Neurospora crassa OR74A: one gene and its partners. The protein of the gene in region 1 interacts with the protein of each later gene in a pairwise test. Links are inferred from orthologs where the notes say so. Each region holds a gene or a part of one and is shown in the gene's direction. Other genes may lie near its edges.

What was found.
Region 2: the proteins of NCU04119 (region 1) and NCU05959 interact in binary tests that used the Saccharomyces cerevisiae proteins (3 or more experiments, as listed by UniProt). The link is inferred for Neurospora crassa OR74A from reciprocal best matches to the Saccharomyces cerevisiae genes TLG2 and VTI1.
Region 3: the proteins of NCU04119 (region 1) and NCU01199 interact in binary tests that used the Saccharomyces cerevisiae proteins (3 or more experiments, as listed by UniProt). The link is inferred for Neurospora crassa OR74A from reciprocal best matches to the Saccharomyces cerevisiae genes TLG2 and TLG1.

What each region holds. Positions count from the first base shown.
Region 1 is NC_026505.1:4,908,275-4,912,017, reverse strand, and holds NCU04119 (SNARE complex subunit), read left to right. Parts: upstream 1-1,183; 5' UTR 1,184-1,513; coding exon 1,514-1,536; intron 1,537-1,604; coding exon 1,605-2,176; intron 2,177-2,250; coding exon 2,251-2,744; 3' UTR 2,745-3,135; downstream 3,136-3,743. Other genes in the region: cmd (calmodulin A), read right to left, coding at 1-55, 237-252, 366-422, 575-577; NCU04118 (aspartokinase), read right to left, coding at 3,504-3,601, 3,686-3,743. UniProt on the Saccharomyces cerevisiae protein: t-SNARE that functions in transport from the endosome to the late Golgi and on the endocytic pathway.
Region 2 is NC_026506.1:3,311,393-3,314,945, reverse strand, and holds NCU05959 (vesicle transport V-SNARE protein VTI1), read left to right. Parts: upstream 1-1,443; 5' UTR 1,444-1,760; coding exon 1,761-2,160; intron 2,161-2,236; coding exon 2,237-2,435; intron 2,436-2,511; coding exon 2,512-2,599; 3' UTR 2,600-3,009; downstream 3,010-3,553. UniProt on the Saccharomyces cerevisiae protein: t-SNARE found in various SNARE complexes involved in multiple transport pathways. The composition of the t-SNARE complexes is specific for a limited number of v-SNAREs and therefore allows only the vesicles carrying the matching v-SNARE to fuse.
Region 3 is NC_026505.1:3,218,243-3,221,439, reverse strand, and holds NCU01199 (SNARE domain-containing protein), read left to right. Parts: upstream 1-1,174; 5' UTR 1,175-1,389; coding exon 1,390-1,436; intron 1,437-1,526; coding exon 1,527-2,259; 3' UTR 2,260-2,555; downstream 2,556-3,197. Other genes in the region: NCU01200 (peptidyl-prolyl cis-trans isomerase B), read right to left, coding at 31-157, 219-543; gle-1 protein, read right to left, coding at 2,868-3,197.

The sequences.
Region 1 (3,743 bases):
GGGTTCTGGCCCAACGAGCGCATGACGGTACCGAGCTCCTTGGTGGTGATTTGGCCTAGCTGCTGTTCAGTATGCGTGCATTACGGTAGGGCTCGTATTCACATCGCAACTCGGTTCAGGGGCGGGCGGTGAGAAGCGTTGGGTGCGTCGCAACTACTATGATCCAAGGCGCTTGCCGCTAACTTGGTGGTGGATGAATTCGGATATCTGGGGGGGTAGGGTTTCGGAAGACTAACCATCACCGTCCTTGTCCTGTGTCACGTTGTGTCGGGTCAGTCATCAGGCTCGCACGATTTGCGCCAAACGGCGACACAGGGGATTGAGCATAGGCGACAAGGAAGCTCGGCGCAAGAAAAACAACTTACAAAAAGGGAGAAGGCCTCCTTGAACTCAGAGACCTGCTCTTCAGTAAGGGAGTCCGCCTGTTGTTGATAGCCTTGTCAGTCACCCGTCTCCTTTCCAGCCATCATCGTATGTTCGCAGCCCGGCCGCAGCCCCTCGAGCTAACCCGCGGGGTTCTTGTTGCGCTCAAACAGATTCGACCGGGAGGCACCGAGATAAGGAATGAGCATACCATCTTGATATAGTATTAAGGGGTGGATAGAGGGTCTGGGGAGAGCGAGCGTGTGAGATAGTTGGATGTGTTCGAAGGAGGATTTCGAAGGTGTTCTGGTTTGGAAGTGGTAGATATGGAGGTCCCCCAGTAGAAACGAACGAGACCCGTTGGCTACCTACCAGGTAGGTCCAAGTCCCCGTTCTCCTAGTTCGACGTTCCTTAAATGAGCAGCTGGGCCGCCGATTGCGAAGCATGGAGTGGAGGGAGGCGGGGCGGGGTCCCTCCCTACCTAACTGTAACACACTCGCTAAAATGAGACTAAAACTAAAGATGCCCTGGAGCCCATCCCGGCGTCTCGCAGGTGCTGCAACCTACCTGGAACCTCTGCATGGGATACATCACCACTGGAGGTGTAGGTCGTCAGCCCCAGCCCAGGACAGACGGGCCAGACTGTTAACAGGCTGAAAGCTCCCGTCCCCCAGGCTGCCAGCTGACCGACTCTTTGAGACACTGACAAAGGCTACCCCTTATTGGCGGGCCCCAAGTGCCTGACAGGTGACATGCATCCCATGTTATTCATGCCCCCCATCCCTGGAACTGGCCAGCATTGTGTTTCTGAACCGCCGCGTCAGCGTCATTGTCAGTGGTAGCAGCTGCCCAGTGCTACTGGCCCTGTTGCTGTTATTACATAGGTAGGTAGGTAGTGAAAGAGAGAGGCCTAGAAACATTTCCCCCCGGGAAGATCGACCAGGGACGGAGACATTGGCAACTCAACCTCGACCACATACACAGCCGTGTCCATGCGATGCGATGTGATGCCATACCCATTCCAATCCGCCTCTGGACCGCCATTACCACTAACTACCATCAATTGACTCTCACCTCTGACCGAGACGACGACTAGCCTTCGGCGTGCAACCGAGGTGAAGGGAGCCTTTCGCCCTTCCGGCGTCCGCCATGTGGCGCGACCGCACTAATCTGTACGGGGAACTCTCTTGAACCCCCCGGAGATGAGAGTCGTTCGTTAACATCCATGTGACTATCACAGCTATATCTCGTACCGGCAGTCCTACGCCCACCACCCGACCCAGCGCAACCGATATGCCCCTCAGAACCCAGGCGACCGCTTCGGCGGGACTTCCGGCGGGGCTGGCAGCAGCACGGGGGTCCTCTTCTCTGCCGACGATGACCGGCGCGGCCTCTTATCCGCGGGGGCCTACGATGTCGACGACGGCGATGCGGTGATCGAGATGGACCTGCTTCCGCCTCGGTGGGCGGATTCGTCGGACGAAGTGGCGGAGCTGCTGGCCGACATCGCCCGCAAGAGCCAGAAGCTGGAGCGGTTGCATCAGAAGCACGTACTGCCGGGGTTTGACGACGACGAGGCTAAGAGGGACCAGGAACGTGAGATAGAGCAGCTTACGCAGTCCATCACCAAGGGGTTCCACGACTGCCACCGCGTCATCCAGCGCATCGAGCAGATGGTGCGCGAGGGCAAACACAATGGCCAGATGAGTCGCGCCGACGAGGTCATGGCCAAGAACATACAAATCAACCTGGCCACGAGAGTCCAGGAGGCCAGCGCCAATTTTCGAAAAAAGCAGAGCGCATATCTAAAGAGTGAGCCCCCCTACTTTCCTTACCACTCGACTCTGACTTTAAACAGTCATGCTGACATCACACTCCCTGTTCAGAGCTAAGAGGCATGAGCGGCCTTGCCAGTCCAACCCTCGACCGAGTCTCAGCCACCTCTTCTTTCCTGGGCCCCAGCGGCCTCCCGCCCGGCAACAGCTCCAACAGCGCCTCCATTCTCGAATCCGACGCCGACCGGGTCTTCTCCCAGTCGACCCTACAAGCGTCAACGCACCAGAAGCTGCTTCACAGCAACGACCAGGCGATCTCTCAGCGTGAGCGCGAAATCGACGAAATCGCTCAGGGCATCATCGACCTGTCCGATCTGTTCCGGGATCTTCAGACCATGGTCATCGACCAGGGTACGATGCTGGATCGGATCGATTACAACGTGGAGCGGATGGCGACGGACGTGAAGGAGGCGGCCAAGGAGTTGACGGTTGCGTCCGGGTACCAGAAGAAGACAACCAAGAGGAAGATTATACTTCTGTTGTTGATTTTGATAGCGGGTATGATTATTTTGCTGGTTATCAAGCCGAAGAAACATGGAGGTTGAAGAGAGTGGGGAGAGACATAAAAGGGACGAACTTCAAGATGTTATGTGTGGGACAATCGAGTTGATGGGCGGACGGGTAACCGAAACCACTACACGGTACAGCGAAAGGGGTGAGTGAGCCGAAGAAAGAGGGAATTTAAGAAAGTAGTAATGTAATAAAAATGGGGAGAGAACATCAAGAAAGGATTCCGGGAAACCGGTTTGTATGACAACTATACAGATGTCAACAATCGGGGGTATGAGAACCGAGGTATGAGGACCACGGCCCCTTTATCTCAAATAGGTTTGTTATAGTTTCATGTTGTGACCCTGTTTGCATTGTGTGTAATGGCCATGCTTGGGAAAAACAAAAAGTAAACAGTTTCACGCTTGATCAAATCTACTTTTTAAGACAAGGCTCCGGTACTTCCAAGTCCGTTGGATGATCATCCTGTGTAAATTTTGTCTATGGCGCTGTATTAACCCTTTTCGTTAACCTCCCTGCCATGCTCTATATAAATGCCCATGTAAATAAAACAAAGTAAATCTTCGCTATGTGTTGCCTAGATGGTATACAGGTTCCATCCGACAACCGCTCGTCTATTCAACTTCTTCTTCTTCTTTCTTCACTCCTCCCCCGTGGGTTCAAACCCGTCTTCTCTTCTCTTTCTCTCGGACCGTCTAACTCTCTCACGTCTAACTCACCGCAAAAATAAGGACAGAGACGTCTAAACCGACACAAAGTCCACTCTGTTACACCCTCAGCAGTAGGCTGCCCCTTTACTCCAGGAAGGTGAACAAGTTGGTATGCAAGATATTCATAGCCCGCTCGGCGTCTCTGGCGTCGATAACACACGAGATGTTGATCTCGCTGGCACCTATTCACCCACAATGATTAGCCATCCATATACTCTCACACACACAAACACAAACACACAAACAGGATCAAGAACCCAACTTACCCTGAGAAATCATCTCAATATTGATTCTGTGATCACCCAACGTCGAAAACATCTTTCC
Region 2 (3,553 bases), on another chromosome or scaffold:
GTCCAAGCCGTGGCCGAGCTGCGAGGAGCTCCAAGAGGTTTGGAAACGGTGGTGTTGCTGTGCCAGTGGCCGGTCACGACACCCGCGGCGCCCAAAGAAGAAAAAAAGCGACGGCGGAAGCGCACGGCAGATCCTGCTAGATCCTGGTAAAGGTAAGCGGGCAGGGGACTGGCCAAGCCCTGAGCTAGCCTGGCCAAATTAAAAAAGATGGGGCCAATTCGGTGCCGATGGTGGATGACGGTGGACGCCGGCAACGGTGAGTCGCTGAAATCGGCCGCCGATGTGTCAAAACCGTCGGACGTTGGCGTGGGCTTTTTCCTTCGGCGGCGGCGGCGGCGGTACGTAACTCGATCCTGGTGAATGTCGCCAACACTCTCCACTAGCCAAGCGATGATGTATTCCAGCGAATCCTATGGCGTGCCGAGAGTGGATCAGCCTGACAAACCTTCGAATGAAGAACCTCGCAGCGAATTCTCGAATTGTGACCGGGGTCGCTGATTTGTCCGTTGGTGATGGATGTTTTGTGGTGGAGGTTTAGTCAGACGGGTCGGTATCGCTGGGCTGAAGCCTGGTGTTGCTGGACGACGAGCAACAGAGAGAGTGTATGAGTGCGTGTATGTGTGTAAGTAAGTGTGTGCCACGAGGCCGGACCAGATGGCCATGAGCAGTCCTGGTGTTTTGATGTCGGCGACGAAATCCGAATGTCATAGCTGACATATATATGATTTAACAGAAGGTGCAAATCTCGTGGCAATGTCGAGCAGCTACCTACTATTTGCGCCGCAAAACAACATTGCCGACCAATCCGACCCGACTGCCAGGAGAACATTTTCCCAAAGCATCGGTGGCGACAGACTACAAACCCAAAAAAGACTTGGAAAATTCAAGACACCAACCAGAAACAAAAGGCTGGCAATGTGTCCATTTTCTGGGGAAACCAGCCAAGGTTCGCGTCAAGCAGCCGTGACAGTGTCTAGGCAGTGTACACTATATTATCTTAGCATGTCTTGGGACGTGGCCGTTGACTGGACCTTCTAAGCGATATGTCCCCCAAAACAGTTCCCTTCCCTAGGTCGTCATCGGTCTCAATTCGTTGCTGGCTGGTGAAAGGTCAACTCAGTCATACAAAGAAACCAATTGAAGAGTTTCAAGACGCCAAAGTCCCCGGCAGTCCCAGGCGGGGTTGATACGTTCAACTGGACACGGTCCGTGTAAGTTACACTTTGCAAACAATACATACAGCGCTTGCGTACACGTACTGCAACAACACTGCAATACATGCGGCAACGCCAAGCATGTGTACGTCACCCGCCTAGGCTGCAACTGTAACCACTGTAACTGTATGTAACAAGCGGAATGTCATGTGCCCATGCTGGTCCGTGCCCACAGCTGCTGTCGTCTCCCGCCTGCGGCCTGCCTGCCTTTCAGTTCGCTTGTCAGGCTGCTGAGACGACCGCAACGACTAACGGGGCTCGAAGCACACTGGTGTCGCTGGCGACAGACAACATTCGACGACGACCACTACTCCTTGCGATCAGACCAACCACACGCCAGCCCAACCACATCTCGTCCAACGCGACCGCATCAACGACGCCCCTCTTTGGCATGATTAATGACGAATCTGAATAATTGAGAATAACGATACCCGCCGATAAACGAGCATCACCCCGATACGGCCAGCCCGACGACAGCACCCCCACACCTGCCCCGAACCCCAACCTCCACATCCGATAGCAACACATAACTCCATTGAATCCAAGATGGCCAACATTCTCGACAGCGAAGCCGGCACAGAGCTCTTCAAGCATTATGAGACGGAATACCAGCTGGTCCAGGCCGACCTGGTCCAGAAGCTCGACCAAATCTCGGAGCTGACGGGCGAGCCCAGGAAAGCCGCCCTCAGCACGGCCGAGCGCGCCCTGGAGGAGGCCGGCGAGCTGCTGGACCAGATGAACATGGAGAAGCAGAACGTGCCCAGCTCGTCGCGGACCGCCATCAACAAGCGACTGCGCGACTACCGAAGCGACGTGGACAAGTATCGTCGCAAGCTGCAGACGCTGGCGACGGACCGCAGCGCCCTGTTCGGCGGCAGATACACCGATAACCCGGGCTCTTCGAGTGGCGATAGGCATTTTGAGCAGAGGCAGCAGCTGCTATCTGGTGGGTGGTGGACAGAAGCACCTTATACATGGCAAGAAGAAACGGAATGCTGACTATTTCCCCCGAAACGTAAAAGGCACCGACCGGCTCGATCGGAGCACACAACGCCTCAAGGCCAGTCAGGCGCTGGCCGCCGAGACAGAGGCTATTGGCGCCAGCACCCTGGCCGACCTGCACCGCCAACGCGAAGTCATTGAGCACACCACCACGATACTATACGAGAGTGAAGGCTATGTGGACCGAAGTGTCAAGACACTAAAGGGCATGGCACGCAGGTACCACCCTCCCCTTTTGTCCCAATGCGAATCATGATGATTAGGTAATACTGACCACTTGCGCCTTTACCATTAGGATGGCTACGAATCGGATAATCACCATTGCGATCATCACCGTGCTGGTCCTCCTTATCATTGCGGTTATCGTTAGCAAGTTCAGGTGATTGTGTCGAGAGAGCTGAGCGAATCCATAAAGAAGCAATACAACATCAGGTAGAACAGGCAGGGGTGTTCAGTGACATCACGATATATACGAACAGGTGGTGGATGGTTTGGACTGTACCGATGGAGCGTTTGTTATAACAGAGACATGTTCCAGTTCCATGTTTTTCGTATCGTAGGGATGGTATCGTACGGGGGGTTGTATTTTTACACAGACGGCGTCACAAAGGGAGGTGGTTTCGAAATTTAGACGTATTTCTTTCTCATGACCATACGGCGGCCTTGCTTCCATGGACGTTCCGACATCCGACAGGGGAAAACGGCTCGCCATGTCCACCACAACTCGCCGCCACATGGGTAGCGGATCGTTCTCTATGATTTCAAATGATTCTCCTCTGAGACATAGTATCCCTGACTTTGGTCGGTGTTGACCGGGGCCTTGGTTAAAACAAATTTTCTGTTGGCCACTGTTGTTTGAATGATTTGCGTTCACCACACCTCTGCTGGGATGTGACTTGGTAGCTTGGTAGTTCTACAAGAAACAGAGAGCGAGCCTTCGACAAAGTCGCTATTTCTTGTGCCCAAATTAAGCTTCTTTGCCACCCTGAAGAACCGTGGTGTACTGTGTATATCCCAGCAAGAACTGTGTCTTGGTAACTCATGTACACTACAGGCCTATTACAAATGAGTAGACTAAGAAATTTTCCATGTGATGGAAACACGCATCACTGCAAATCACGTCAAGTCATCTTCTTCGAGATACTTTCGTTGTTGTTAACATTTGCATATAACCCCACTTTCACAGATACGCAGTACATAACGGACCCTCAGACCTTCCACAGCTCCAGTTGAACTTTAGGCGGTGAAAAAAAAGAAGTCCACCGGACTGATGTTCCGCAGCTCAAGCTGCAGCTGGATGGAGATCGCCGGTCTCTCCCCGGCAGCCTTCCACTCGT
Region 3 (3,197 bases), about 1.7 Mb from region 1:
GACCATGCGGCTCGAGTGTATTCGACTTACGAGGTGATGACAGTGGTAATGAAGAACTGGGAGCCGTTGGTATCCTTGCCAGCGTTGGCCATTGAGAGGAGACCCTTCTTGGAGTGCTTGAGCTTGAAGTTCTCATCGGGGAACTTGTCACCATAGACTGTACACAAGCGGTCAATGATATGGACCAAAGTGCATAACGGAACTTGGAAGCAACATACTGGACTTGCCACCGGTGCCATCGCCCTTGGTGAAGTCACCACCCTGGATCATGAACTGCTTGATAACACGGTGGAAGGTAGAGCCCTCATAACCGAAGCCCTTCTCGCCAGTGGCAAGAGCGCGGAAGTTTTCAGCGGTCTTGGGGACGGTCTTGCCATAGAGACCCATAACGATGCGGCCGAGGGGCTTGTCGCCCTGCTCAATGTCGAAGTAGACCTTGTGGGTGATCTTGGGGCCCTTGGCTGCCTCGGCGGACTGCGCAAAGAGCAGCATCGCGCCGAGGAACAGCGTGGCGGCGAGGAGGAGTCGCCGCAAGCTGAACATCTTGACGGTTCACGATAGTTTTTGGGTTGAGATGGAAAAAGACAATGACCTGACCCAAGTCAAAGAATTGGTGGAAAAGAAGATGGAAGAGGAGGAGGAGGAAAGAGAGAAGGAAAAGGACAGTTGATGAGACACTATGATTCTCTTCGGTTACAGTGGTCCCCGGCTCCGTTGAAGCTACGTTTCACCTACCAAATCGGGCGAGCTGCCCTCCAGGCACTGCCCGTCCCCGCGACTGGGGAACCTGGAACCAGTGCACTGACAACCGGACCGACAGCGCGCGTCGTCCAACCAGTTCTTTAGATCAAGGGCCTCGCATTTTCCCCTCAAAACAACAGGGGCAGCAGTCAAGGTGTTCAGACAAGACGGGGATTGATGGAATCGTTGGGGTTCGTTCACAGCGACTGCGCGATTGCCCTGAGACGAGGGAGCGGGAGCTGCACCGCTGCAGAAGCGGGGCAGCCGAAGAGGTCCATGGGATGGATGTCTCACGCCAAGCCGACGGCGGGTCCAGAACCACATGTACTTTCTAGACTCACCCTCAGCCACAAAGGGGGGTGTCAATCTGGAGCGCCGCGCTTGTATGCATAGCGCCGCTACTACAGTACCTCGAGGCAGTTGTCGAGATCGTGAACCCTGCCGGCCGCAACGTCATTATACTTTGGTCTTTATTTTAATCAAACACAATAGATCACTGCATATACCACCACTTCCTCAATCTCTTTACCTCTATGCAGTGAATCTCCACTTCCTTCAACTTGGGACTAATAAGGCCGGCGCATGTCGATTGATGCGACCGACAACTGATGCCGCAGCTTTACTCCTCCTCGTCTTCGCAGTAGCGCGATGATGTCCTCCACGAACGAGGAGGACCCCTTCCTTGAGGTCCAACAGTATGCTCTGACCATCTCCCCCTTTTTTTCCCAACTCACAAACCACAATCAACCCAAAACATTGACAGCTAACCAAAACTTCAAACACAGGGACGTCCTAACCCAACTCCAATCCACCCGCTCCCTCTTCACCTCCTACCTACGCATCCGCTCCCTCTTCACCTCTTCCTCCTCCTCTTCCACCGACTCTCCTGAGCTGATCGCGGCCCGCTCCGACCTCGAATCCGCCCTCTCCTCCCTCGCCGAAGACCTCGCCGACCTCGTCGAGTCCGTCAAGGCCATCGAGCGCGACCCCACGCAATATGGCCTGTCGGCGCACGAAGTCACGCGGCGCAAGCGCCTTGTGCAAGATGTCGGGTCCGAGGTAGAGAACATGCGGCAGGAGCTCGCATCCAAATCCGCCGTCTCTGGAAAGGGTACCCAGCAAAAGGACCAATTACCAGACCCATCATCTTTCGCCATCCCGGACGGTGAAAACGGTGCCGCTGGCGCCACCGGCGAAGACGACGATTACGCAGCCGAATTCGAGCACCAGCAGCAGATACAGATGATGCGCGAGCAGGATCAGCATTTGGATGGGGTATTCCAGACGGTCGGCGTGCTGAGGCGGCAGGCGGACGACATGGGCCGTGAGTTGGAGGAGCAGAGGGAGATGCTGGAGGTGGCGGACGATTTGGCGGACCGCGTGGGAGGGAGGTTGCAGACGGGGATGCAGAAGTTGACATATGTGATGAGGCACAACGAGGACACGCTGAGCAGTTGTTGCATTGCGGTCTTGATCTTCGTATTGATTTTGTTGTTGGTTTTATTGCTCATTTTGTAAGCTGGGAGCTGGACGGCAGGATTGGGGCTGTGTTTTGGCTGACTAGACTAGGCGGGCTGTTTTCTTTTTGGGTTCTGCCGGTTAAGAGGAGTTCTGAAGGGGTGTCTATGATGTTTGGCTCTCCTGTTACTTATTTTGCTTTACCGCCTACAGCATTATGATGGACGGTCATACGGTAATACAATAATGACCTACTGGATCACTGCAGCCACGAGTTGTTGCCGCCATGGTCCAGGTGAAAACGGGCATCGGTCAGCAACATTGAGTTTGGAGCCATACAAAGGCTCAGTTCTGCACCCTTTACAGGGCTTTCTTTCTCTGAGTGCTGATGTGGTAGGTTTTTGTTTCTGTATGCCCACTACGAGCTTCGCCGCCTTGATTGTAGATACGCTGGGTATATAACAGAAAGCGCCAAATACGCTGGGAAGCCCGGCCTTTCAGTTTCTTCTGATAGAACACTAACTTTTCGTAACCGGCACATGGCAGACGTTATCCTTCCAAGATGCTGAAAACCTCAAATGACCAAATCCTGAACGCCGTTGATATGACTTTTCTTTCTGACACACAACACACCAACCCCATTCCTCTGACACACACGACCACTTTATTTATCCAAGAGCAGCTCCAGTACTCTTCCTGAGCAGATCATGGACAACCTGCAACGAGTTCACGGCACTCGACTTGACCGGTGCCCGAGCAGGGAACTCTACGAGCGCGGTCCTCAACGCCGCAAGGGCAGCGGTTCCATATGCATGGATAAACTTCTCCTCGTAGTTCTGGATCATAGCTTTCAGAACCACGCACTGGGTATTTGAGATTTCGCCTGAAGGGGTGTTGACAATCTTCGCCATGGCCGCCCAGTAATGTCGTGGTGGGTATGGGTTTTGCTTCTTGGACGAGGCGAAGTTTCGCAACGATATCGCGGCGAAGCCGGCACC